7 linked regions of the Cricetulus griseus genome follow. The protein of the gene in region 4 interacts with the protein of the main gene of each other region in a pairwise test. Links are inferred from orthologs where the notes say so. Each region holds a gene or a part of one and is shown on either strand. Other genes may lie near its edges.

Region 1 (4,031 bases), on a different chromosome or scaffold from region 4:
AATACCCTCCAGAACTGTAGTCTTTGAAACTGGATGGCTAGGCCTCGGACAATCCTGGCTGCCAAGGCACACTGGCTCTTGGCACTGCAAAAGACAACCCCTAGTACAGCCGCAAAGTAATAAGCTTGCAGGGCTCAAGGGAGGAAACAAGCAAGGATGGGAGAGACCTGAGAACTAAGAAAGGCCACAGGATTGGGTGGTGGAGCACACCTTTAATCCCAACATTCGGGAGGCAGAGGCAGGTGGATCTCTGAGTTCAAGGCCAGAGAAAGTTCCAGGACAGCTAGGGATATACAGAGAAACCCTGTCTCAAAAAACCAACCAAACAAAAAACCCCACAGGAGTGGGAAAGAGTGGGGCCTCAGAAAGAGCAACACACATAGACAAAGGCCCTGGGGTATGGACCAGCTTTAGGCCAGGTTGTGTGTATACATGCCCATGTGTTTCCTGTGGTCTATGAGTAGGAAAGAGGCCTGTGTATGATCCCAGATACATGGAAAGCCAGTCTTGAGTAAGTGATATTCAAAGGAACCTTTAGCTGTCCTTACATAGCCAAAGTCACTAAGGTAGGGCCAGCTTCACATCCCTCATGTGGAGCAGGCTCTAGGGCCCCAAGGCACCACCACCCTAGTTCTGCTAGGAAACAGCCTATGTTTGCTGTGGTCAAAGTCCCTACTGCCAGACTTCCCCATGAAAGGTAACACCAGGGAGCCCTTTGCTGGGGCCTGACTCCGGTTGGGCAAGGGATCCTCACCTGTTGTAGTTTCCATTGCTTGTCCTCCCGGAAGGCGAAGTGTAACAGTTGGTTGTTCCGAGGCATCTTCAAGTTCACATCCTATGGGCCAGAGTGTGATAAGCAGGCAGAGGTACCTACCCCTATGCTTCCTGACAGGAATGCAGTAGATGGGTGGCTGAGGCCCCAGGCACTTTGGAGTTAAGTGATCAGGAATGTCAAGAAATAGGAACCCAAGCCCAGGAGAACCACAGAGCAGCGAAAAGGAAAGGAAGTTGAGAAAGGGGAAGGTCTAGAGGGGAGGGGAGCTCTGTAAAATCAAGACTGAGCCACAGGGAGGGACTGTTCCCATGCCTTAAGGCCTTGCATAGTCCAGATTTGAATTGCTCAGATGTTGAGCAATTCAACTTTGATCCAGGGCCAGCATGCCTAGGCTGCTAATGCTCACATTTCACAGGGTACAGATGCCAGGCTGTGCTAAGGGTGAAGCCACCCACTCCTTGCACCTCGTACAAACTATATGCCTATCTCATGAGGTAGTGTGAGGGTTGCCTGTCAAATGACAGACATACAAGGAAACAGCTCCAGAGAGGATAAAGTTCCTGTCATAGTCATGCAGCTAGCTGGTGGCAGAGCTAAGAGGCTGTCCTCATCACCAGCAGGGCTGTTATGGAATAGGGCCCCCGGGGGTGGGGGTGGAGACACAACTCACCGCCTGGCTGAGGGCATCCCCTTGCAGAGTCAGCACACCCTTCACCTGGTCTGTGCTATAACACACAGAAGTCAGAGGGGTACTCCCTCCCCTCCCCCTCCCCCTGCAGGCTGTTTCATAGCAACACCAGCATTCCCTCCCCCAGGTACTCCAAGAGTACCCTCCCAAAAGCTCCTGCCCAACCCAGCTCACCCACAGCTGCCTAGGATGAAGTTCTCCTGTTTGGTAGGTCCCTCTGTGCTGGGTCCTGGGAGAGTGAAGCGGAGAGAGGCCTCCTGTGGAAGACAGGGCAGTCCCAACACCTCAGTCTGGCCAGTACTCCATTCCAAGGCCCTAGATACCTTGCCAGATTAGCCAGGAAAAGGACAGGCCTTACCTGGCTCCTCTGCCTTTGCCCCACCAATCCTCCAAGCCTCTGTGCGCTCACACCTGTTCATTTCATGGTCCTGAGTAGACCAGGTAAGAACACAGAATGGAGAGGCACATTACCTAGCTAACTGGAGTGCAGTGATGCGGTGTTAGGGGCAGAGGCATGGAATTATGCAGTAGTCAGTCATGTTTTCCTAGATCACAGTGCTAGGCATTTTGTGACATGGTTTATTCATCTTCACAACAGCTCTGTGAGCCTGATTAGGGGGAGGGAACAGGCTCAGAGATGTGGGTAACTTGGCTGAGATCACACTGCAGGGCAAGGCATCCTTCAGAGCTCGAATTGTCAGTTTTGTTTTGAGACCGTGTTTCATGATGAAGCCCACGGCTTCGTGATCCTCTAGCCTCACCTTCTCGAGTGCTGGGATTACAAGCTCTCACCACCACTCTGCCCATAGACGAAATGTCACTGTTTCAAAGTTAGTCTCACTTAAGACCCGGTGTTAACCCTGGGGTCTAAGACCTCGCTGCACACACACGCCACCTTGCCTGCGTCTGGACTGTAACTCTTCTGAGAGCGTGGGTACCTGAACGCCACCACGCTCAGCAGCCGCCGCTGCGGGACCGATGGAAAGAGGGATGGCAGGCCGGGAGTGACCTGCCCTTACCTTGAGGATGTCCTGCAGCTGTCTTAGCACGGCGTGCACCTCAGCGTTCAGCAACCAGCGGAACTCTTCCTCCTGCGGACAGCGCGGCGTCAAACCCTTCAGTCCCGCCGCCCGCGCCCGCCGCCCGCCCGCCGCCGCCGCCCGCCGCCCGCGCCCGCGCCTCACCAGCACTGCCCGCTCCGCGGCGCTCGCAGCCATCGCAGTCGCCATAGCCGCGGCCGCGCGCCGTCTCTGAGGTCTGTAGTCTGGAGCTCGGTGCGCCGCGCCCGCCCCTCCTTCTCCCGTGACCGATTGGGAGATTGGGCGCAAGCCCCGCCCCCAAGCCGGTTCCGCCTCACACAACCAGCTATATCTCCGGGTCCCGCCTCACCAGGAGGCGGACTGGCCACGCTTCGCCGCCCATCCGCCCTTCTTTTAACCCGTGTTTCTCAGTAGGGGCGGGGCGCTACGGCAACCAACATAGCTCTATTGCTTACTGATTGGCCAGCGGGGCCGTCCCTCATTGCGCCGTTCTTGTATTGTTCCGCCAGGTGGCGTCCCGCCCAGCAGGCACGCAGAGGGAGGACTAAGCTGGGCAGATACTGGAAGGAGGCCTGCGCATGGACGCACTCTGGCTCCTACTTTAGGTCCCCAAAGCGCTCTGGCACAAGTGTCACAGCTGTGGTACCAAGAAATGTTTTATTTTTCTTTTTCTTGCAGTAGCTTTGTTAATTGCACAAAATCATGTTTTGTTTTCGCCATTTAAACATTATCACACAATCCTATTCTGAAAGACAAATGCTCATTAAAAACAAAGCGAAAATAAAAATTCACAACCTTAATCACCTAGATTTGTCATTTAAAGGAAAAGGGGGAGGAGGGGCTTTCTTACAAGCATTTTCACAATGTCACATTTTCTCCTTAAAAGGGAAGGATTTCAAAACGAAAGGTGAAATAGCTTAAACAGAAATAGTCATAAAAAGGAACTTTACAGAATTGTCAACAATATTAAGACAACATTGACTAACCGGTTTCCTTACAGTATCTTCCCCACCCCCAACCCCCAGGACCAAGACAGGATGTGTCCAGACAGAAAACAGGTTCAGCATCCCAGTGAATGAGCAATTGTGCTGAACCCCACAAGCATTCTTTGCTCCATGCCCATGTCCTGAGATCTTTATCCCAGGTTCTTCCCAGTGGAAAAATCAAATTCTGGCTTTGGAAATCCAAACTCATGAGGAGGAAGGCAGACACCTCAGGTGATTCCTCTCATGTGGCATTCTAAGCCTCTCTGGTCCCTCTCCAAGGAGACGTGCTAGGGCCTACAGATGACTGGCTCCACCTCTGAGGGGCAGTTAGGTTAGTAGAACAAGGCCCAGTTCTCTTCTGTCCCAACAAACCCAGAGCTTGGAACCACTGCTACTGGCAGAAGTGAGGTTCCACCTCAAAAGCCCAGCCTATGAAGTGCTCATCTATGAAATGTTTATTATTGGTATTGGTTAGGCTGGGTCTGGGCCAAAACAGGATGGGACAGAAATACTATCTCCATGGGAGGAAAAGGGAAAGAGGG
Region 2 (3,500 bases), on a different chromosome or scaffold from region 4:
TTTGGGATTAAAGGCATGCATCACCACCCATCTATCATTTTTATATGTGTGTATGTGCGTAAGGCTGCCTGTCAGTGCCAAGGGTATTGGATTCCCCTGGAGCTGGAATTACAGACAGTTGTGAGCCACAGGTGTATGTGCTGGGAACCAAATCCAAATCCTCTGCAAAGGCAGTAAAGGCCCTTAACCTCTGAGCCATCTCTCTAATCTCCAGTATATTAGATCTTAAATGTATTTATTCACACCTTGGAGTCATACCTCTCCTTCTGTTCTGGGTTCCAGAGATCAAACCCAGGTTGTCAAGCTTGTGAAGCAAGCATTTTGTCTGCTGAACCATCTCACCTTGCTGGTCCTAGTTGTTCCTTAGCATACTCTCAATGTTACCAAGTTTTCTTTACCTTTTATGACATTGACACTGTAACTACATCTTTAGTTTGTTTACTATGTCTGTGTAGGCACACATATGCCAAGGATTAAACTCGGGTAGCTAACCTTAGCAGCAGGCATCTTTACCTATTGAGCCATCATCTTTCTGGTTGAAGACTACATATGTTTTATGTAATCTTTCAATTTGATTTTGTGTTTCCTCATGAATCAGTGTCTAGGAAGATAGTTCAGTCTGTAAAGTGTTTGCCTTGCAAGCAGAAAGACCCTAGCACCCATGTAGAAATGCCAGTTGTTGTTGTACATGCTTGTGGTCCTAATAGTGGGGAGATGGAAACAGGTAGATCCTGAGGCCATGTTTCTCAGACAGTCTGGCCTAATTTATGATTTCCAGGCCAGTGAGAAACCTGTCTCAAAGGAGGTGGACTGCATTCCTGAGAATTACAGCCAAGGTTATCCTGTAGACACACATACATATATACACACACACATGCACTCACACATGGACTCAATTGAACAAATAAATACAAATACATAGACACACATAAAAATGAAGACCTACCTTGCTATCATTCTGTCTTTCTTTGTCTCTGCTGAGCCTCAGACCTGAGGCCTGCAAGTATTAGATAAACCCTCTACCACTGAGCTATATCTGCTGGCCACTTCCAATTTTTAAAAATGACATAGAATTATTTATAAATATTATGTACAATATAATTTGTTGTCTATATGATGCATTATGAATTACGAGTTACTTTGCATGTTTTCTTTTTGAATTATTAAAAAAGAAATAACTGAACGGTTTGTATTTTCAGGGATACCTGTCTTTCCTGGTACCATCTTCCTTAGTAGATCATTTATATCTCTTGCCTGATGAGCACCTTTTGACAGAGGATGAAACAACCATATCAGATGGTAATAATAATTGTTCTGTCTATAGTTGACCCCTTTCCTACATGAACCTTATGTTTTATTTCAGATGGCCACAAAAATAATTAGTCACCACTGTGATCTGTGTTTATGATTTTACCTTACTGAAGTTTTTTTTTTTTTTTAAGCTAGAAAGGTGTAAACACCTATGCTATGGGAAAGGGATCCCTCCCATCAAGCCATTGATGCCTCTTTTAATGTATTATTCAACAGACCTTCATGGCTTCAGACATCAGTGTTAACATTCTCTTCCCTTGTAGATGCTGATGTGGCCCGGGATGTCATATGTCTTATAAAATGCCTCCGGATGATTGGAGAGTCAGTTACCATGGATATGGCAGTTTTGATGGAAACCAGTTGTTACAACTTACAGTCTCCAGAAAAGGCTGCAGAGCAAATTTTGGAAGATTTGATCACTATTGATGTGTAAGGAGAATTTAGGGTAAAGTGCATTTCCTAATGGAATTCAGCAGTGTTTGTTATCACATATTTTTTAATATATGGTCAAGTTTATAAAAAGTCATGGTTTAATGTTAAAGTGATTTTTCTTGAGTCTACATAGATCTGTGTATGTGTGAGAGACAGAGACAGAGAGAGAGGTATGCTGGGGAAGACCTTTGCATTCTAGGCAAGTGATCTGCCACTAAACTACACCACAGCCTCTGTTTTAGATGTTATGGGGCAAAGTTAGCATATTTATTCAGGTCTGGAAAACAAACTCATAAAGTATACTTCTTAAAGCCCTTAATTGAGCTGGATATTTTTAAAAATGCAAATGTTTTCCTTGTGTTCATTTTGTGGGTCATTCCTAAGAAGTTGAAGGTGGTTTTATGTGGACTCTGAGTATCTTGTGCCTGAATAGTTGTCTCCACTACTTCACTAAGGGGAGCACACATATAACCTGCCTTGAATGTTGTCAATAGTAACAGGAATTTTCTAATTGTCATGTAGAGAAAATGTGATGGAAGACATTTGTAGTAAACTGCAAGAGATCAGAAACCCTGTCCATGCCATTGGACTTCTTATACGGGAAATGGATTATGAAACAGAAGTCGAAATGGAAAAGGGATTTGATCCAGGTAAACAACAAAGCAAGTGTGCTTTGTATAAAACAATGATCTGGGGATTGGAGGGATGGCTCAGTGGTTAAGAGCACGTACTGTTTTTCCAAAGGAATTGAGTTCACCTCCCAACACCCACATCAGGCAACTCAAAGCCTAGGGGATCTGAGTCTCTGGTCTGTGGACACTTGCACTCATGTGCACATACCCACATAGAGATAGACACACATATACATAGTTAAAAATAATAATAAAAATAGTTAAAAATAATAATAAAAATTTAAGTGACATGTTTAATTCCATTTTTCCTTTTTAGATTATTGTATTTATTTATTTTATGTATGTGCATGCACACATATGCCATGGTGCACATGCAGAGGTGCACAGAAGACAACTTGTGGGTCAGCTTTTTCTGCTGCATGGGTCCCTGGGAATGAGCTCAGCTTATCAGGCTTAGCAGCAGGTTCCTTTACCTGTTGAGCCATCTTGCCAGCCTTTAACTTCATTTTTTATGTTACAGCTCAACCTTTGAATGTTCGAATGAATCTTTCCCAGCTCTATGGTAGTAGCACAGCAGGGTATATTGTGTGCAGAGGTGTGTATAAAATTGCCAGCACTCGTTTCCTGATCTGCCGAGACCTCTTAATCTTACAGCAGCTGTTAACAAGGCTAGGAGATGCAGTAAGTACTACTTGTGGGAAAACTTGTAGACTCTCAAACCTGGAGAGCCAGAGACTTGTCTGTATTCATTTGTCTGTATTAGGCATAGCCTAACTGGGGGTTCTACAAATTCTAGGTGAAAGAAGTAGTATTGGTTACTTTTATTATTGCCATGACAAGATTCCTGACAAAAGCAGCTTAAGAAAGGAAGGGTTTGTCTTGACTTGCTGTTTGAAGGTATAGACTATTGTGACTTCAGAAGAGTGAGGTGTACTGCCTCCATAGTCAGGTCCCAGAGAGAAATGCTGACATTCAGCTAGCTCACTTTATGTGCAGTGTTGCAGTTTAATAAGAAACATTTTAAATGTAGATTGTAAGCATGGGGATTAGAGAAAGAGAGGTGCTTAGAAAGAAAGACACCCAAGAGTGTGGGTGTAAACTTTTCTAAGAGAGGGTTAATAGTTA
Region 3 (3,500 bases), about 13 Mb from region 4:
GTAATAAACTTGGGGCTGATTATCACAGTAGTCACTGGATGTTCCCTCCTGACTCTTCTTGTCTAATTCTCTCCTCAACTCACACACCTCCTTCCAAGCACCGGTCCGATAAGTCTGCCGGACCAGACAGATAGATGCCTCTCAAGGAGGGGCCCTGACAGAAATATTCCAAATGAATATTCTACTCCTAGCAAGTGTTTTCTTGCTGCACTTCTGGATTCTTCTTTTCAGCAAGCATAAATTCCTTTCAAGATAGATTTCCTGGGTGCTGACTAATAGGCACTGTATTAGCTATTTGGGATACATGGTGGTAGTTGCCTGCCTGCCTAGGGAATGAGAAAGAATGATACAGTGTGATTATTGCTAAGAGTAGACAAAGTCCATGAGAATGCAGTAAGTAGTCATTCAACTACTCTGTCAACACAGGACAAAGACTTGGAGGGTACCGCATTAGCAAAGAGGATAAGCAGGAAGGAGGGCATTTCCAGGATCTCAGGGAGAGCTTGTGCACAAAGATTCTGGACCCACAAGAGCCCAATGGCAGGCAGGTAAGCAGGGGAAAGAGCACATGGCTCCCACCTAGACCATGAGAGGGAAGCTGGAAAGTCAAGAGAAAGTTTTGAGCAGAGGAGGCAGCTTCCTTCCTTTCTTTCTTTCGGGAGTGGGACCAGACATGGTCTCATTATGCAGGGTGCCTACCTCTGTCCCTGATGCTCAAATTAAAGCTGTGTGCTACTACACCTAGTAAATGAAGTCACTGTAGTATGTAGTTAAAAAACAAAAAAAGGAAAGAAAGATAGACTACAAGTTTTGACTTAGGCACCTAAAAGGATGGAGTTGGGAAAAGGAGAGCAGTCAAGCATGGTAGCTCAGGCTGGGACATGTTTAAATGCCCTTCATGTCAAGTGCGCTATGTGGTAAGTGGGGGATCCAAAGTGGGATGCTCTGGACAGAATTCTAATCTGAAGATGAAGGCAACTATACATGGACCAAACTGAAACAAACATCTGAGAGTGAAGGACATTGCTGAACTCAACTTTTAGGTAAGAAGGCTGAAGAAAAGAGCTTGAAGCCCAAATGGGAAACAAAAAAGGACTAGCTAGGTAGGACCGTGACGTCATAGCAGGTGGAGAGAAGACCAACTGCCCGTATGTGACTGGTAAGTCACGATGTCACAGGACAATGACTCGACTTACCAGTCTATTACCTCCCATGCAGGGACAAATGGCAGTGGTGATAGAAGGCAAACAAGAGGCTGAGGTTTTGGCTTTTTGAGACAGTCTCATATAGTTAGTATGGCCTTCAACTCCCAAGTGCCAGAATTATAGGTGTGTGCTACCCTATCCCATACACTATCAGAAGAATACTTCATCTTACATTTTTAGGACACAGTTAAAGCTAAGTTGCTGAGATGCCTGAAATCCCAGCACTTGAGGGGACTGAGGCTGGAGGACATGAATTCAAAGCAAACCAGTGATACATATGAATATCCTAGCACGCACACACACACACACACACACACACACACACACACACACACACACACACACACACACACACAGGGCATAGTGTCTGTATTTAGCTTGTATACTCTCCCATATACTTTAAAATCATTACCAGGACACAATGAAAATATATAAATAGTTACAAATACAAAGAAAATAATGAAAATAATAAATAGTTACACAGTGTTGTAATCCAGTACAAATGCACATTTTTTGCTATTTTTGATTTGCAGATAAAGGAATTAACAGATGGGTCGGGAGGATGAACTGAACGTGATAATAGAAATACTATTTCTCAGGAAAACTATTTCCCTTTGGTTCCTCTGTATGTCTGTAAAGGTCAACATCCAACTGTTCAGTGTTCCTCTTTTGCTTTTTGATTATCATTCAAACATACTACAATTCTACAGTTACCTAACCAGAGATGGCACTACATCAGGATACCAACTGTCCTGCTAGTGATTCCCATTTCTACTATTGAGCACATCTTGCTTCCCTCCCAAAACCCTTTCTAAAAACCCTTGATCACTATCATTAATCATTGTTCAAGTTCAACATTCTCCGATGAATCCTTTAAAAGAAAGAAAGAAAACTAGGGCATGAATGAAGCAAGATCAGCACAACTGATTTAACTATTAGAGCTATGTGACAGAATGGTTCAAATGCCATCTCCCAAGAAGACTGGACAAGCCTATCTCAAACTGGAACTGGTGATGGAATGCCATGGTAGAATGCTAGTCAGGCCAACCTATCATGTGAGGCCCTGGGTTCTCCTCCCATTACCACAAAAGAAATAAATTGGCCCTCACCTTACTTTATCCTTGGACCATTTGATGCCCTCATCACATCTCACTTGCGTCCCTTACTACCATCACTTAAAGTGAACTACCAGGAAAATACTGCTCAAATTCCAATCCCCAGAGCTTAGTTAGCACCGCAATACATGTTCTAACATTTGTAAAACAATCAAAGGGCAGGACAACTTTATGGATACATATTCACAATGGAGGAGCCTACACCATAATCAACATTTATTAGTCTACAACAACAGACACACACACACACACACACACACACACACACACACACACACACACACACACACACTTTCAAAACAGAGAACTTACCGGTGTGAGCTGCTGGGAGTTTAACAGCTGCTGGAATTGCTGCTGCTGGATAAACATTTGTCTCTGTTGGTCGGACAGTAATCCAAGTCCCGAGGCACTGAAAAACCATTGCAATCCTTACTTCTACTGCAGCCTTTTCAGGTGATACGAAAGGCAGTCCCTTCAGTAGGTATTTAACGAACTCAGTTTTATCAAAGACACTTCATTATGTACAAATTATTCTTTTTGCCTATACATGTGTATGCAACTAAAAAGGAATGCACTGTCAAGTTAAATAGGCACAAACTTAAGAAACACAATTTATGTGTTTGCAATAAAGCATATGTAATAATCACCTATCCCTTACTTCATCAAAATCTCTGATTAGAGAATATCAAAACTGTGCTCCTAAATCTTGCAGAACCAGTATCACATGACTGTCACAATAATGTCTTTGCAGAGTAAGATACACACATGCTGAAAGAAGGATGAAGAAAAACTAACATTTAAAAACAGATACCACAGATCGGGACTGACATTTTCTACACAGAATGTATTTTAACATTATGTTACTGAAACTGATATTGAACTGAATTTTATCAGTCTAATAAGAAAAAAAAAATACTATGAGTACCAAATACTCACTTACTCAATGAGTTTAATAAGGAAAAAAAAAAAACTATGAGTACCAAATACTCACTTACTCAATGAGTTTGGGCAGCTATTCTTCCTACAGAACGTCTACAAAATTCATTAAAAATCCTAACCCAGAACAAGGACAACACTGACATGAGGCACGGAAAATAAAACAAGAAAAACTAAACTCTACTGAAATTGTAAGTTTCTTACCTGTTAGTCAGTGCAGCGGCCGGCATTGGATGTGCTGCGT
Region 4 (3,500 bases):
GGCTTTATTGCTATAGGTTCAAGCCTGGGCTATAAGATGAGTTCTGGGCTAGTTACTGAGTGAGATGTTGACTCTGAGAAACAAAACCAAAACCAAACCAAAACAAAACAAAACAAAAATGAGAGCAACAAAGAGTGTGGGTTTCACAGAGTGGTTAGTTTTGAGTTTCTGTTGAGCACACTGAGACTGTGGGCTAGCTCAGCCCTCTCTCTTCTCTGGGTGGGTGCAGGAGGTAGAAGCTGTGGAGAATCTGCACTGTGGGTGGAGAGAACATCCTGGAGATAGGGAGATATCAGGAATTAAGCTGTACTCTTATCAGCTAGGAACAGTGAGGGAACAGGGGGTGTGTCCGTTAGTAGAGCCTGGTGTTATATTCAGACTCCTACGCAGTGAGATGGCTATCTGCCCAGTGCTGAGCTCACACTGTGTTCAATTACCTGCTGCTTGTTTATTTCTTGGCCTGGAGACAGATGATGGTTATGGATTAACTTAGATTCCAGCTTAATAAATTAGGGCAAATTGTGTGTGTGTGTGTGTGTGTGTGTGTGTGTGTGTGTGTGTGTGTGTGTGTGTGTGTGTTTGAGTTTGAATGTGGGCACAGGTGCATGTATGTGCACATGTATGTGGAGGACAGAAGTTGATATTTGATATTTACTCCAATATCCCTTTACCTTATTATTATTATTTTTTTGACACAGGGTTTCTCACTGAATCTACACTTTACTGATTGGGCTAGACAGGCTGGCTAGCAAGTCCCTGGCATCCTCCTGTCTTCTACCTCCCCTTACCCTATGCTGGGTTTGCAGATTCATTCTGTGGGTCCCCAGCTTTTGCATGGGTTCTGGGTATCAGAACTAGCTCTTCATGCTTGCATGGCAAGCACTTGACTGATGGAGTTCTCTCACCAATCCTGGGAAGTAAATTGGTCCAACAGTCTGAAGGACACTAGACTCTGGCTCGACAAATCTTGTTCTCCCAATCCTATTGACCCGACAAGCCAAGGTTCTTGTGTTTTTGTACATCCTAAGTTCTTGTGTTTGGGAGCAGGCTGCCCTTTCCCCTCCTGGCCCACAGCTGGTGTCTCAGTGTTTGGTGTGAGTGGCTAGTGCCTTTGCTTCCCCATCAGAAGCGAAGCCAGTGATACATCATTTGCTGGGTTCTCTCAAGTCAAAACCTTGGCTAGCGCTTGTCCGTATTTAATGCTTGGGAAGGAGAGGATGTTTTTCTTCCTGCCAACTCATCAGAAACATAAAACTGGCATGATTTTCCCAGTTCAGCAGACTTCTGGAATTGGCCTGCCTCGGAAGAGTGGGGTGGGCTCCGAGATTGTGGTGCATATGGCCTGCTCTCATTTAACCGATTCATTAGTAGCAGAGCAGGGTTAATGGATGAAATCTGTTCCCCCATTCTCTGCAGAAGGAAATCGAAGCTCTCCAATCAAGGATGTCTGCGCTGGAGGCAAAAGAACAACAGCTGAGCCAAGAGTTGGAGGATCAGGAGACACTGCTCCAGTGGCAGGGCTGTGATCTGATGCCACTGGTGGCCCAGCTGTCCCCAGGACAGCTGCAGGAAGTCAGCAAGGCCTTGGGAGAGACATTGACCTCTGCCAGCCAGGCTCCTTTCTGTGTGGAGCCACCTGAAACCCTTAGGAGGTATTGGTGATTTTCTAACTGATTTTCCAGCGTTCCCTCTTTCACCTGTTTATTGAGATGGCTTTGCTGCCCATTCATTGTTCACAGGTGCTTCTCAGGTGGTTTGTTTGCTTAGTGGAAGTGCTGGTGGTGTTGAGATGTAAGATTCTTCACTGCGGGGTCAGTTCTGAGCACTGGGAGTTATTTGGCATCCAGTCCACCCAATCCCTAGCTGCCAGCACTGTCCCCTCTCCAATAGGCAGTTTCCAAAATTCCAAGGGGCTGGCTTGTCTCTCCTTTCCCCTTCCCTCCCAAATTTGGGGTCAGTTGGATAGAGATTTTGACATTGGCTTTTGCTGAAGACAATTATCTGGAAAGAGATTTCACTTCTAAGAGGTAGGGTGTGACATCAGAAGGGTGTGACTTGGGGCATAGGGCATGGCATTGGAAGAATGTGACCTGGGGGATGGGATGTGACATTGAAAGAGTGTGACTTGGGGGAAAGGGCATGGCATTGGAAGAGTGTGACTTGGGGGAAAGGGCATGGCATTGGAAGAGTGTGACTTGGGGGGTAGGGCATGGCGTTGGAAGAGTGTGACTTGGGGGGTAGGCTGTGGCATCGGAAGAGTCTGAGCTGGCTGGGGAGATTTTCAGTTACAAAAGTATTTACTGCATGAGCGCAAGGACCTGATCTTGGATCCCCAGAACCCACATAGAAATCTGGGTGCAGTGTAACCCCATTTCTGAGAATGCAGACTCAGGATCCCTAAGGCTTGCTGGCTAGCCAGTTTAGCTGAATTAATGAGCTCCAGGTTCAGTGACCCTATATTACAAAGATGAGACAGAATGTGATTGAGGAAGATATATGACCCTCCCTCTGCACGCGCACACACACACACACACACACACACACACACACACACACACACACCCAAAAAACCAAAACAAAAAACCCAACCAACCAGCCAACCAACCAACCAAATTAAAAACTCCCAAACCAAACCAAACCAAACAAAAACTCCAAACAAATGAACAAATAAACCAAGAGGGCAACATAAGCAGTATTTTTTTATCAGGTCACTGGGATGAATGAGCTTGTGTTGCTGCTGTTGCTGGCTAAGCAATGTCAAATGCCTGGTCCTGGGCAGAGCTACTTTGTGGGTCACATCAATTATGCTGTCTGTTTTACAGACAGTGAAAAGTAGTTTAAGAAGGTTAATAATTTAAAAAATTGATAATCTGCCCAAAGTGTTAATAGGAGAGAAAAACAGATAGACTGCTATTCCTGCTTTCTCAAATGTGGTGTCTCATCTATCACGAAGGGGTCTTTCCTATGTTTTACACTGCAGAGAGCTTGTGAAATACACATATACACATCTGCTAGGTTGTATTTAATTTTTTTAAAGACAGGGTCTCACTATGTACCTCAGGCTGGCTTCTAGTTCTCTGTATATCTCAGGCTAGCCTTGAACTAGGGATCCTCCTGTTTCTGCCCTCTAAGTTGTTGCTCTTAAGGGGTTTCAATCTCATTTTGGAGACACATGGAAGACACACTTACACATGTGGGAAAGGAGTGCTTGTGGATGGGCAGGGATGTGCAGTCAGGGCTTAGGACTCTGCTGGGCCACTGTGCTCCCTACCTGTGGGGATCCTCATTCTGTGATTTCTGGCTGACTGTTTGGGGAGACTCTTTAGTTTCAGCTAGCCTCACTGTGGCTGTCTGTCCTCCTGTTTCCACCTCTTGAGTTCTGGGACTCATCACCACACCTGGCTAGATCAACATGGCAGCTGTTGTCACTCACAAACTCGACACCATCAATGGAAGCCAGCTTCAGACTCCAGGTGCTTTCTGGCATCAGTCAAGTGCAA
Region 5 (3,500 bases), on a different chromosome or scaffold from region 4:
ATTAATGAATATTTGGAGATTTAAGTAAATATGAGGTCAGTTTTAAGTGAGTTATTAGGAGGCTTTTTCTTTTTGCATAAGTATGTACTTGTGGTTCCTGCGTGTTTGCCCATGTGTGAGCACACATACACACAGAGGCCAGAGGCTGACACTAGGAGTCTTTCTCAATTGTTTGCCACCTTATTCCTCGGGGCACACATTCTTAGCTGAATGCAGAGCTCTGCAGATGTCTACTGTAGCTAGCTAGCTTGCTGTGGGAATTATATGTCTGCATCAGAATTACAAATGGGATGCCACTCCCACAAAGCATTCATGTGAGTGCTGGCCACCTGGTGCTGACCTCACCCACCTTGTGCTATGCAGGCAGACCTCACCCAGAATGTTCATCCTAGCCTCTTCCCTCCCTAGACGTTTAGCTCCCAGTTAATGGAAGCCATCCCCAGGAGAGCTGTCACATGTACTGCTGACCTCTTTGCTACCTCGGCCAGAGACTACACTGAATTCTAGACTATTTAGCTATGGAAACCACCCTGATGGCCACTTGTATCTGTCATCCTCATGGTCACTTGTATCTGTAGAAGAGTTTCTATAGAGACAGACCCTAAGCTTTATTGTGCATCTGGAACGGGACTAATTGTTGCCTGAAAACTTTTGACCAAATTATAATGTGTGTTTTAAATACGCTGACAATGAACTGCCTGGCATCAGACTCCCCACGTTTGATCCAAGTCGATGAAGCCAATCCGAACTGAGTTTTTATTCTCACATCTTCGAAGATCACTGCCTGAACTGACACCTACAGGGACCCCCTCAGCCACCTGCCTGTAAGTTGATCACTGGGGCAAGCTAACTAGCTAAACTAGTCATATCCTCAAGCTCTGGGCTCAACTGAGAATAAGGTAGACAGGGATTGCTCCAAGCCCTAGGCCAATACACAAACATAGGAGAATGTATACTTCTACAAACAAGTGTGCTTATGCACTTGTGAACATGCATACAAAGATGCACAAACCCCCAGCACACATATGCAAGAAATATATCATTAGTATTATTACAAATGAGTGAGGAATGAAAAGAGTAAAAGGGTATATTGGAACAAATTTCTGTATACTGTTAAAATTAAGTTGGTTATAATTTGAACAAGAATTGTTTGAAATTGTCAATTATAATGTCAGGACATCACTAAGATAATTTCTCAAAAAAAAACCCAAATTATCAAAAATTAGCTTAAAATGATAAACTAGAAAATACCCAGTATAGAAGAAAACAGAAATACAGTAAAAGAAAGGTTAAGAATCATGATAAAAATTTTCATAATTTAAAAATATAGAAACATGTTAAAAGTTTTGTTATTCAAAGAAAATACAAAATGACAAAACCTCCCTTGTGGGCATCACATCAATGTTAAATAGACTAAACACATGGATTCAAGAATGCATGGTGAGCTAGTTATATGATAATTCCAACAAACTCTTGAGATTCAAAAACACAAACAGGGTGAAAATAAAAGAGTGGATAATAGACCTACCATGGAAAGAGAGAGGGAGAGGAAGATAAGTAGTAGATTAAAAGTATTCCTAATATATAGAAGAAAAAAGAAAATTCAGGCTATAAGTATTTAAGACTTGGAAACATGTATATGGGCATTTGTATACATAAAATATTTAAGATCTAAATACAAACTTAAGGGTAGGTTTATTTTACATAATTTTCTATTTTTAATATGTAGATAGAAAATTCACCATTTAATAGTAGTTCTTCCAAGTTATCAGGATTTCGAGCCAGCTGTAGGATCAAGGCAGATCCCCGAACCTTGTCTGGAATATCTTCATACAACAGCTCAATGTACTCGTCCATGTCGTTAATGTTGGCCACTTCATCAATCTGAAACACAGGCAGGAAGCACTCAGCAGCTCTGAGAGACAGCAACACTGCCAGATGGATGCTATTTTGTGATCAATATATTACTTGGAACAATTCCCAAAAAATGGATAATAGTTATCTTTATGTGGATGGAAATTTTAGCCCTTTGTGTACTAGAATGCTAATATTAAATTATAAGCACAATAAAGTGGAACATATATAAACTCTACAATTTGTCTCTCAATGTATTTTAAATGTAATACAAAGCTATTTGTACCTATAATAAAAGATTAAATACTTTACATTTTATTTTGAAATGTTTAGAATATTTTTGCCACTTATTTTAATAAAATTAAAATATGTTAAAAAGCACTACAAACAATTTTTTATTTTATAAAGTAAGCATTGATTTTTCTGCCTTTTTAAGGTATCTCTAAACTGAACCATTTAAGATCTCACATCTGAACATGACCATATGCATTACTGAAAGTAAAGGTGATGTCTGTAGTGTTTTGTGTAGTAGATCAGAATTCATACAGGCTTACCTCCATCCCTTCAAAAGGAGGTGGATCCTTAGGCTTGCTTGATTTTTCTTTTTTTTCTGTAAAACAGATTTAAAAAGAAACCTGAAAATTAGGTTTTAAGGTTTGAGGAGTAATTATTTTTAGTAGTTGAGATTAATGCTGGCTAAGCTGGGGGTATAAAACTAAATATTTGATGAATTCTTTCAGTGTGTAAAAATTAGCTATTTGTTCTAATGATGCTATCAAGGAGGACATAAACCAATAAAATCCATGACAAAACTTATACTTCGTTTAAGATGGGAATAGTTATCAATAAGACAAAGAAAATGGTCTAATAATACAAAAATGAATTCTAGGTAAACTAAAGTTAACATGTAACAGTAAGAAATAACAGCTAAACTATAAGTTGAAATAAATAAGGTGAATGATTTTTGTCTGATAAGTGATATAAGGGACATAAATCAAAATATGAGTATTTGATATTTACATCAACTTAATACTTATGTAATCCCTAGCAGGCATTCAAAGGAACTGAACACATCTTTGGGCCATTTAGTATACTATTCAGTTAAAAGTGTATTTTCATATTCTAAATAGAAACAATGCATACATAAGTAGATAAATTAGAAAAACTCAAATGAATGTATAATTAGCAATAAATATAGATTTGAGACTTGACCCTTACTGGGGACTACTTTGAAAGAAGAAGGGAATCGGCAAGGGTCATGAAAAGATGCGAGAAGTAAATATGAGCACCATATTCACGTATCAGACTGTCATAATAAAAACCATGGTATTATGAAAATTACATACAATAATACATGCTAATAAAAAGAAATACAGCTATGAAGTATGAGTGACAGGAAAAAATGAGAAACATGCTATTGACAATAAAAATGTTAGGAAGGCCTATTCTTTCAAAGAGACATAAATAAATGCTGAATTTAAAAGGAATTAACCATTTCAATTTTCAGAGGCAACATCCATGAGAGATAAGGGCTTATCTTCAAAAGCTAAATTATGTCTCAAACAGATAATTATTATAATAGTAGTTTTGATTAGCAAAGAAAAAGAAATCACTTAAGCAATGAATCACAGTGTCACAATTTACTA
Region 6 (3,500 bases), on a different chromosome or scaffold from region 4:
CTGCAGTTCTTTGATCTGTGGGTGGTGGGATTCCAGTTATCCATGGCAGTCCCACCCAGTCAGCCCAGGCCCTCAAGGGAGCACTGCCTTGCAACTCTCCCTGCTAACGCTTCCAAGTAGACCATGAGACCTAATGCAGATAGCTTTCCTCCTAAGTTGAGGTTAAATGAAGGTCTGCATGGTAAAAAAACTAGTATTAAATCAATAGATATTATGTTTTTGATCATGACCTGTCTGGGGAATAACTACAGGACTACCACCATGTCTGAACCTCAGGCATTTATTATTATCTAATTCTTTTTTCCAGGAACTCCTACTTTACCCAGTCCATTCCTCTAACAGATAGTAACTTAGGGAATTGGTGCATGTACTTGGTTGGGCACCTGCACCTCCCTCCTGGTAACACACAGTTATAACCTTGCCCCTAGTCTCAGGTTTTGTTCTCCTAGGCCTATGGCAGCGTACAGTCTGTTCAATAAGCACCAATCAGACTAGGTTCATGTGGCCATCACTCTTTGGGTCTGTTCTATCTCTCCCAGGCACATATGTAGTGACCCTCCCACTGGACAGTGAACCTGTCCTTGAAGTGCATATAACCTAGTTGAAAAAAAAAAAGACAATGCACTCAAAATAATGAAAGAATATTATAGTGCTCTGGGGGCACAAAGTACTAGAGAGAATAGAAGCAGCAAAGGGAAGAACAGTAGAATGGTTGACCAGTATGCCAGCAGTGAGCACTGTCCATCAGGTACAGCGGACTGTCTGGCCTCCTGGGATTTGGTTTTCCTGCACTGCCCTGCCTACCTTGTTCTCTAAAGTGTTCTAGGGGCTTCGGAGTGGGAGCTCTGCCACCGCAGCAGTTACCTCATTCTTGTCGCTCTGGGAAGCTGCAGGCTTCTCCAGGCACTCCTTCAACTCCTTCTCACAGTCCTCCAGCTCGTGACTCAGCTCTCTCTGCTTCACCAGAAGCCTGTTCATCTGCTCCTGCACCTGGCAGTGGTCCTCCTGGCTCACCTGGTACAGGGCCTTCACAGCCTGCAACTTGGTCAGCACCTTGGCCACTGTCTCCTCAAAGTTCTGCAGAGAGTGGGGGGAGCAATGACAGCACCCCAAGAAGCATTTGATCTCTGCCCTACACCTTGCTAGGCCCATCCCTGGAGCTGCCTAGGGGAGACTGTATTTCTTCCCTGAAAGAATTTCCTGACTGTTCAAAGTCCTGAACCCTGGGGACTTTGTCCAAATCAGGCCACCTATGTCAGGAGCGAGGGGAAGCAGGGCGACCATAAACAGAAGCCTCACATACTTCAAGAAGTCTTCCAGGCCAGCTCTGATCCTACTCCTATCTCACTCTTTTTATGCCCTCCCCCTGGTGATGTTTCTTGCAAAGATAGAAACCCATCTGTCCCTCTGACCAGTCACCTCACAATGGTTACCTCTAGGTCTCCAGGCTCTGCTGGGTCCTCATCAGCAACACTAACATAACTCTTGTGAAAGGTTTCAGAGCTAGCAGTGCTACCATAGCTCTTCTTATAGGCAACACTTGTGTTGCTGGAGCGGTAACTCTTCTGATAGGCCTCATTGCAACTGGCGCTGCTCTCATAGCTCTTGAGGAAGCTGTCATTGCTGGCCTGGGAGCTTACGTAACTCTTTTGAAAGCATTCATTGTCCTCGATGGTGCTGTCATAACTCCTGTTAAAGCTTTCATTGCTGGGGGCCATGCTGCCTGGGGTCTTCCTGTAGGACTCAAGACTCATTTTTATGGTGGGGGACTGACTTTGGAGCAGCTGTATTTCTTCCATGCAGAGCTGTAGCTCAGCCTGCAGCCTCTTCCGCTCCTCCATGAGCCGCCCATGCTCCTGCTGCAGCAGCTCCTGTTGCCTCTGACTGGTGTCATATAGCACCTGCAGAGCCTGCAGCTGGTCCATAAGCACCTTGGACTGGGGAGGGGGGGAGCAGGAGACATCACTATTACTCTGAGACATTTCAGTACTTTCAGCTGCCCCATCTCCTAGGGCAGGTATGAGTGCTCACCTGAGAGAACTGTACATTCACACCACAGTCCAACAAGGCCTCTGTCTCTGACTTAACCTACAGGGACTGGTATATGTCAGCTCTCTGCTCCTTTGGGAAACTCTCCCCAGGGCAGATACTCAGTGATTTTTTTAGGGCTTCTGTTTCTGCTGGTTTCTGACTCTGGCATATACATCTTCTTCCTTGGAGCAGTGTAGGTGGGTCTCAAGAACACCCTGGCTCCCTACCATACCATCATTTTAAATCAAGTATACCCACTATCCTGATCCTCAGTCCTCTCCCCCTCTCTTCATGGTAAAATCATCCCAGCTGGGAATGTGTGAAGATGAATTTTGTCCTTGGAAGATGCAAGCTTGGAATCAAGGTCTTGTTACCCACTAGTCCCTTTACCTTCTGCTAGGATTCTGTATCTGGTCTTGAGGAATGTTTTCCAAGCCCAGTGGATATACAGCACTAGACTAAGGGAACTGATTAAGGGAATAGTTTCTATCTGGTTTCCCAGTCTCTATGCCACCCAGGCTTTTCAGCCTGGATATGTGACACCCCTGCAATGATCAAGCTCCACTGTTTGGACTTCTGCTACTTCCTGGTTCTCCTTGTTCATGTAGCCTGAACTGAAACTGCCTATGTGCTCTACCTCACACCAAATTTATTCCCCAACTCTGAACAGACTAGTATAGAAATTTCTACCTATCTTACCTCATAGGCACCTGGTAGTGCTTGAGAAACACTGATTTTCTGCTATGTCCCTGTGGCCTGGCTTGCACAGTGTAGTCAGTACCATGAGCCTGCCTGCCTGCCTGCCTGCCTGTCTGTCTGTCTGTCTGTCTGTCTGTCTGTCTGTTGCAGCTGCTTTCCTTGCAGGTGACTGGGCCCAGATTTGTTCATGGAGCCTCAAAAGGTTAAAAACTCAAAAAACGGAGAAGTAGACTTTCCAGATAAAACAAAAAAGATGACACATTTAGGGCCAGTCCAAAGGAACCAAAACAAACATTGAATTGATCTCACATATCTTGGAAATGCCATGTTGGTAGGACTGAATCCAGTGGTCAGACAGACTTCTGTGCCCCTTGAACTCTGTTCTAGATGCTGACTACACTTCAGCTCTTAAAGTAAATCATCTATAATTCCAAACATCAGACCAGAGTGTGGGCATCAGCTTATTGGGGCCAATGGAGGCCTCTGACCAGTGAAGGGCAGGCAGGATGTTAGCCTTACCCTGCTTTCTACCCAAACAGGCCTCCTCCTGACTCCACTCTTCCACAGAGTCCCCCTTCCTTGCCACACTGCCCTTCCTTCTGCTGTGGTTACCTTATTCTCACAAAGGGAGGATTTAGGCCCTTTGGTGTCCTGAGGATTCGCCACCACATCGTGGAAACCAGAGTCTGTAAACTCTCGGAGTTCTTTGTGGGCCTCTAGCTGTTCCTTCAGTAAGTTCTCCTGATTCTTTATCAGCTTTCTCTGCTGGT
Region 7 (4,131 bases), on a different chromosome or scaffold from region 4:
GGACAAATGCTCTTAATTGCCGAGTCATCTCTCCAGCCCCGTGTGTGGTTTGTTTTCAAGACAGGCTCTCACTTTGTAGACCAGGTTAGCCTTCAGCGTACAAGAATCCTTCTGCCTCAACCATCCTACTGTGTGGGAGGTTGGACACAAACTAATTTTCCACTCATTTATTTATTATTTATTTATTCTGAAACTGGGTCTAAAGCTGTACCTCGGGCTGTACAGGAACTCTCTTAAGTAGCCCAATTGACCTTGTACTTCCTGAGATCTTCCTGCCTTGGAGTTACAAAGCAGGTGTTAACCGTGTGAACCACCCCTGCTGACTCTTAGAATCATTTTGTATCCCTCTTACACTTTCAGGATACTCAGTTTCTATCAAATGAAACCCTGGGAAAAGCTTCTGGGCTCTGACTCCCATTTCTCAGTTCCTGGACTCTGCCACAGCCTCCCGTAACGAATAGAACCAACCAACTGAAAACGACCACTTGGCTTCCTTCACCCAAGTGTCTTGAGAAGCATCCCATTTCATCGTCTGTATTGATAGGACGACCATGGTGTCTTCAGCGTGGTCCCAAAGGCCCAACCCCACCCCACCCCCGCCGCCGAGGTTTACAGCTTTCTCTCTCTCTCTGAACATCGGTCCCAAGCAACACTTCTAGTCTGAAAAATCCTTGCAATTTTGTTTCTCTCTCGAAACATCCTTGGGACAACTCCCTTAGGAGCCGGAGGGCCATCCTTTCTTCTGGAGGGATGCGAGGGAGTGCTGCTCACTGAAGTTACTGTCTTGGGACCACAAAGAACTAGATAGTAAGATCAGGGCAGGGTGCCACATTTCTCCGGACTTTCCGCTGAGCTATGCAGTCCGCCTTTACCAGAGCCACTGCGGTGGGCAGCTTGCAGGGCGCGCCCATCCCATCTCCAATTCAGGGCACCTCAGACATCCCAATTACCGTTAAGTCCCAAAACTTCTTAGAGCACAAAAACCTCTCTCAGGAACAGAGGATAGGAATCTCGTGCGAGGTCACTTTCCATTAAAAATAAATACAATCACACCCACACGAAAGGTACCCACTAAACCTCCCACAGTATCCACCCATGCCTAACTTCATATTGCAGCGTGGACAATAGAGAACTACAACTCCCAAAAAGGACTGCGCTCGCCACTGGCTCACAGACCAATGGTCGGCTGGCACGTGATCGGCGGATCTAATCAGCGGCAGGCTGGAGAGGCTTTGTCTGCGACCAGGGGCTCCCGCCTATCTCCCGCCCCCGGCTGCGCGAACGCGCGCCCCGCCCTGCGCGCCTTCCCTCCTGCGCTCGCCGGCCTCTTCTGCCTCTTAGAACCTTCCTGCGGTCGTGCTCGCATCTCTCTGCTGCAGCCTCCGGAGCCACGTTCCATCCCTTCAGCCTGAGACCAGCCAAAAAAAAAAAAAAAAAAAAAAAAAAGAACCAATTATCTTTTCTTGCTCGGTACCTACCTTGAAGCCAGCACAAATTTATTACAGTAAACCGTAGCCATGAGGGAAATCGTGCACATCCAGGCCGGCCAATGTGGCAACCAGATCGGTGCTAAGGTAAGAATTTTTAAATTGGTACCGGATACGCGTGAGGATGAGAAATCCAGGTTAATCATGATTAATGTTACCGGGTGTTAGCATTCTCCCTCCGCCGGCTTTGGCCCCTCAAAGTTCTGCGCGAACAATTATAACCCATATTTGTAGCTTGCGTTCTGAGAAATATTTATCTTGGCACATTTTCCGAAAGCCATTAAAAGAGACGCCTGGGTTTAGGGGACGGAGAGTCTGAGGAGGGACTGGAGTGCTTATCTAAAAGAGGGGATTTCTAACGGTTCGAGAACGGGAGAGGAGAGATGCGGAAACGATCCGAGACAAAGCCGAAGCGAGGTTTTCCCCTTGCGCCACCCCCACCCAGCCTGGAGGGCCTTAGCGGAGCAGGACTGGCGGGGGCAGGGGAGAGGTTGGGCGGGCAGCTGCAGAGGTCTCCGGGCCGCATCACCGCTCGACAAAGGCTTGGAGACCCTCGCGATCTCGCCATCCCCTGGCTCGCTTTTAGGTGGATGGTGATGATTCCGTGCGGGGGGCTCCTTTTACTTCATTGCCGTTAAGAAATCTTAGGGTGTGACCTGATGGGAAAGTGAGAGGTTTGTGTGTCTATAAGAGGTCCCTCGGGACTATGTGTGTGTTTGGGGGAAAGCTATTTAGGGAAGAGAAGGTAGCAAAAGCAAAAAAAAAAAAATCTGAGGCCATGGTTTTCTCTTTTTTTTTTGCGCGCAATTACAATGTAGCGGGGGATGGGTGGAGAGGAGGAAGTGCGGCCGCTAGATTGTAGCCGAAGGGTGGGACCCTTTGGGGGCGGGGCTAGCGCCCCTGGCGCGCAGGGACAATGCAGCCCTTGCTGGCGGGGGCGCGCTGGCCCCGCCCCTCGTGCCAGGCCCCGCCCACGCTGCTCCCGCCTTTGTGGGCTGCTGGAAGAGCGGCCCGCCACCGCAGTCACGTGGAACGCGTAAGGGGTGGGCGACTGCAGTGGCCGCACCTTCCTACCCCATCCCTCTTTTGTGCTGGCCTGGAGGGGCGGTGCCCACCCTGAAGCGCTTGGCTGGGTGCTGAGCCGAGGGGGCGGATGGCAGTTCAGTCAGCCCATATGGGTGCTTGCAACCCTCAGCCCCTTGAACTGTCCATCACTTGACCAGGGCCACAAAGGTGGCGACCTTCCCCGGTTGGAGGTTCGGTCGTGGAGGCTCGGCAGGCAGATAACGGAATTGCAGTATCAACCCGTCCGCCTCGTTTGAGCACGTCTAGAGTTGAAATGCGGGCGGGGAGGCATCCCTTAGGACTTCAGCCATTGAGGCCTGGCTCATTGCTCATTGCTCTGTCTAGTTCTGGGAGGTGATCAGCGATGAACACGGCATCGACCCCACCGGCACCTACCATGGAGACAGCGACCTGCAGCTGGACCGAATCTCTGTGTACTACAATGAAGCCACAGGTGAGGGAGGGAATCCAGCTTCTTTTTTCTCTGTTAACACTTATCCCTGGTCTTTTTAAACCCTGCGCCCTTCTGTTGAGACAGGGTCTCGTTATGCAGCCATGGCTGCCCTGGAACTTACCTCCCTAATGCTGCTTTTAAAGGCGGCCGCACCACGCCCTGTTTTCCCACGTTAAGTGCCTGTTAACCCGGTTGCTGGGGTCTCACCCTTTTCCATTAGACACCCACCATAAGTGGGCCAAAGATTAGCTCTGCTGCCGCCGGGTGGCAGTGCCTGGAATGGCAGTTTAGTGGTTTGTGGTATTTCCCACCCCAGATTTCATCCTCGCTGCAGAGGGCTCTGACAGTTCTACTTGAATCCCTGTAGGTGGCAAGTATGTCCCTCGGGCCATATTGGTGGATCTAGAACCCGGGACCATGGACTCCGTTCGATCAGGTCCTTTTGGCCAGATCTTCAGACCAGACAACTTTGTTTTCGGTGAGTTACATGGAATGAATTCCTTTGTACCCAAGGGCATGATTCCAGAGGTGAAAGGTGAAGATTAGTAATGATAATGACGTAATTTTTTTCCCTTCTCACCACATTCCAGGTCAGTCTGGGGCAGGCAACAACTGGGCTAAGGGTCACTACACGGAGGGAGCTGAGCTGGTTGACTCTGTCCTGGACGTGGTGCGGAAGGAGGCAGAGAGCTGTGACTGCCTGCAGGGCTTCCAGCTGACCCACTCGCTGGGTGGAGGTACCGGTTCTGGTATGGGCACCCTGCTCATCAGCAAGATCCGAGAAGAATATCCCGACCGAATCATGAATACCTTCAGTGTGGTACCCTCACCCAAAGTGTCTGACACCGTGGTGGAGCCCTACAATGCCACCCTGTCTGTCCATCAGCTGGTGGAGAACACCGACGAGACCTACTGCATCGACAACGAGGCCCTGTACGACATCTGCTTCCGCACTCTCAAGCTCACCACGCCGACCTATGGGGACCTCAACCACCTCGTCTCGGCCACCATGAGCGGGGTCACCACCTGCCTCCGCTTCCCAGGCCAGCTCAATGCCGACCTCCGCAAGTTGGCGGTCAACATGGTCCCCTTCCCACGTCTCCACTTCTTCATGCCTGGCTTTGC

The links.
Region 1: the proteins of Disc1 (region 4) and Rogdi interact in a two-hybrid assay, tested with the Homo sapiens proteins (2 studies listed by BioGRID and IntAct). The link is inferred for Cricetulus griseus from reciprocal best matches to the Homo sapiens genes DISC1 and ROGDI.
Region 2: the proteins of Disc1 (region 4) and Nup160 interact in binary tests that used the Homo sapiens proteins (3 or more experiments, as listed by UniProt). The link is inferred for Cricetulus griseus from reciprocal best matches to the Homo sapiens genes DISC1 and NUP160.
Region 3: the proteins of Disc1 (region 4) and Mllt10 interact in a two-hybrid assay, tested with the Homo sapiens proteins (2 studies listed by BioGRID and IntAct). The link is inferred for Cricetulus griseus from reciprocal best matches to the Homo sapiens genes DISC1 and MLLT10.
Region 5: the proteins of Disc1 (region 4) and Kifap3 interact in a two-hybrid assay, tested with the Homo sapiens proteins (2 studies listed by BioGRID and IntAct). The link is inferred for Cricetulus griseus from reciprocal best matches to the Homo sapiens genes DISC1 and KIFAP3.
Region 6: the proteins of Disc1 (region 4) and Ccdc136 interact in a two-hybrid assay, tested with the Homo sapiens proteins (2 studies listed by BioGRID and IntAct). The link is inferred for Cricetulus griseus from reciprocal best matches to the Homo sapiens genes DISC1 and CCDC136.
Region 7: the proteins of Disc1 (region 4) and Tubb interact in a two-hybrid assay, tested with the Homo sapiens proteins (2 studies listed by BioGRID and IntAct). The link is inferred for Cricetulus griseus from reciprocal best matches to the Homo sapiens genes DISC1 and TUBB.

Annotation. Positions count from the first base shown.
Region 1 is NC_048600.1:41,686,745-41,690,775, reverse strand, and holds the start of Rogdi (protein rogdi homolog), read right to left. Parts: upstream 2,801-4,031; 5' UTR 2,693-2,800; coding exon 2,648-2,692; intron 2,555-2,647; coding exon 2,483-2,554; intron 1,721-2,482; coding exon 1,638-1,720; intron 1,501-1,637; coding exon 1,446-1,500; intron 836-1,445; coding exon 755-835; intron 1-754.
Region 2 is NC_048599.1:86,065,750-86,069,249, reverse strand, and holds part of Nup160 (nuclear pore complex protein Nup160), read left to right. Parts: intron 1-1,199; coding exon 1,200-1,299; intron 1,300-1,574; coding exon 1,575-1,740; intron 1,741-2,265; coding exon 2,266-2,393; intron 2,394-2,895; coding exon 2,896-3,056; intron 3,057-3,500. UniProt on the Homo sapiens protein: Functions as a component of the nuclear pore complex (NPC). Involved in poly(A)+ RNA transport.
Region 3 is NC_048596.1:215,139,754-215,143,253, forward strand, and holds part of Mllt10 (protein AF-10), read right to left. Parts: coding exon 3,461-3,500; intron 2,730-3,460; coding exon 2,633-2,729; intron 1-2,632. UniProt on the Homo sapiens protein: Probably involved in transcriptional regulation. In vitro or as fusion protein with KMT2A/MLL1 has transactivation activity. Binds to cruciform DNA.
Region 4 is NC_048596.1:201,882,762-201,886,261, forward strand, and holds part of Disc1 (disrupted in schizophrenia 1 protein), read left to right. Parts: intron 1-1,416; coding exon 1,417-1,652; intron 1,653-3,500. UniProt on the Homo sapiens protein: Involved in the regulation of multiple aspects of embryonic and adult neurogenesis. Required for neural progenitor proliferation in the ventrical/subventrical zone during embryonic brain development and in the adult dentate gyrus of the hippocampus.
Region 5 is NC_048598.1:28,515,296-28,518,795, forward strand, and holds part of Kifap3 (kinesin-associated protein 3), read right to left. Parts: intron 2,465-3,500; coding exon 2,409-2,464; intron 1,885-2,408; coding exon 1,743-1,884; intron 1-1,742. UniProt on the Homo sapiens protein: Involved in tethering the chromosomes to the spindle pole and in chromosome movement. Binds to the tail domain of the KIF3A/KIF3B heterodimer to form a heterotrimeric KIF3 complex and may regulate the membrane binding of this complex.
Region 6 is NW_023276806.1:198,400,205-198,403,704, forward strand, and holds part of Ccdc136 (coiled-coil domain-containing protein 136), read right to left. Parts: coding exon 3,343-3,500; intron 1,938-3,342; coding exon 1,434-1,937; intron 1,078-1,433; coding exon 865-1,077; intron 16-864; coding exon 1-15. UniProt on the Homo sapiens protein: May play a role in acrosome formation in spermatogenesis and in fertilization.
Region 7 is NW_023276806.1:229,740,798-229,744,928, reverse strand, and holds the start of Tubb (tubulin beta-5 chain), read left to right. Parts: upstream 1-1,331; 5' UTR 1,332-1,517; coding exon 1,518-1,574; intron 1,575-2,897; coding exon 2,898-3,006; intron 3,007-3,373; coding exon 3,374-3,484; intron 3,485-3,596; coding exon 3,597-4,131. UniProt on the Homo sapiens protein: Tubulin is the major constituent of microtubules, a cylinder consisting of laterally associated linear protofilaments composed of alpha- and beta-tubulin heterodimers.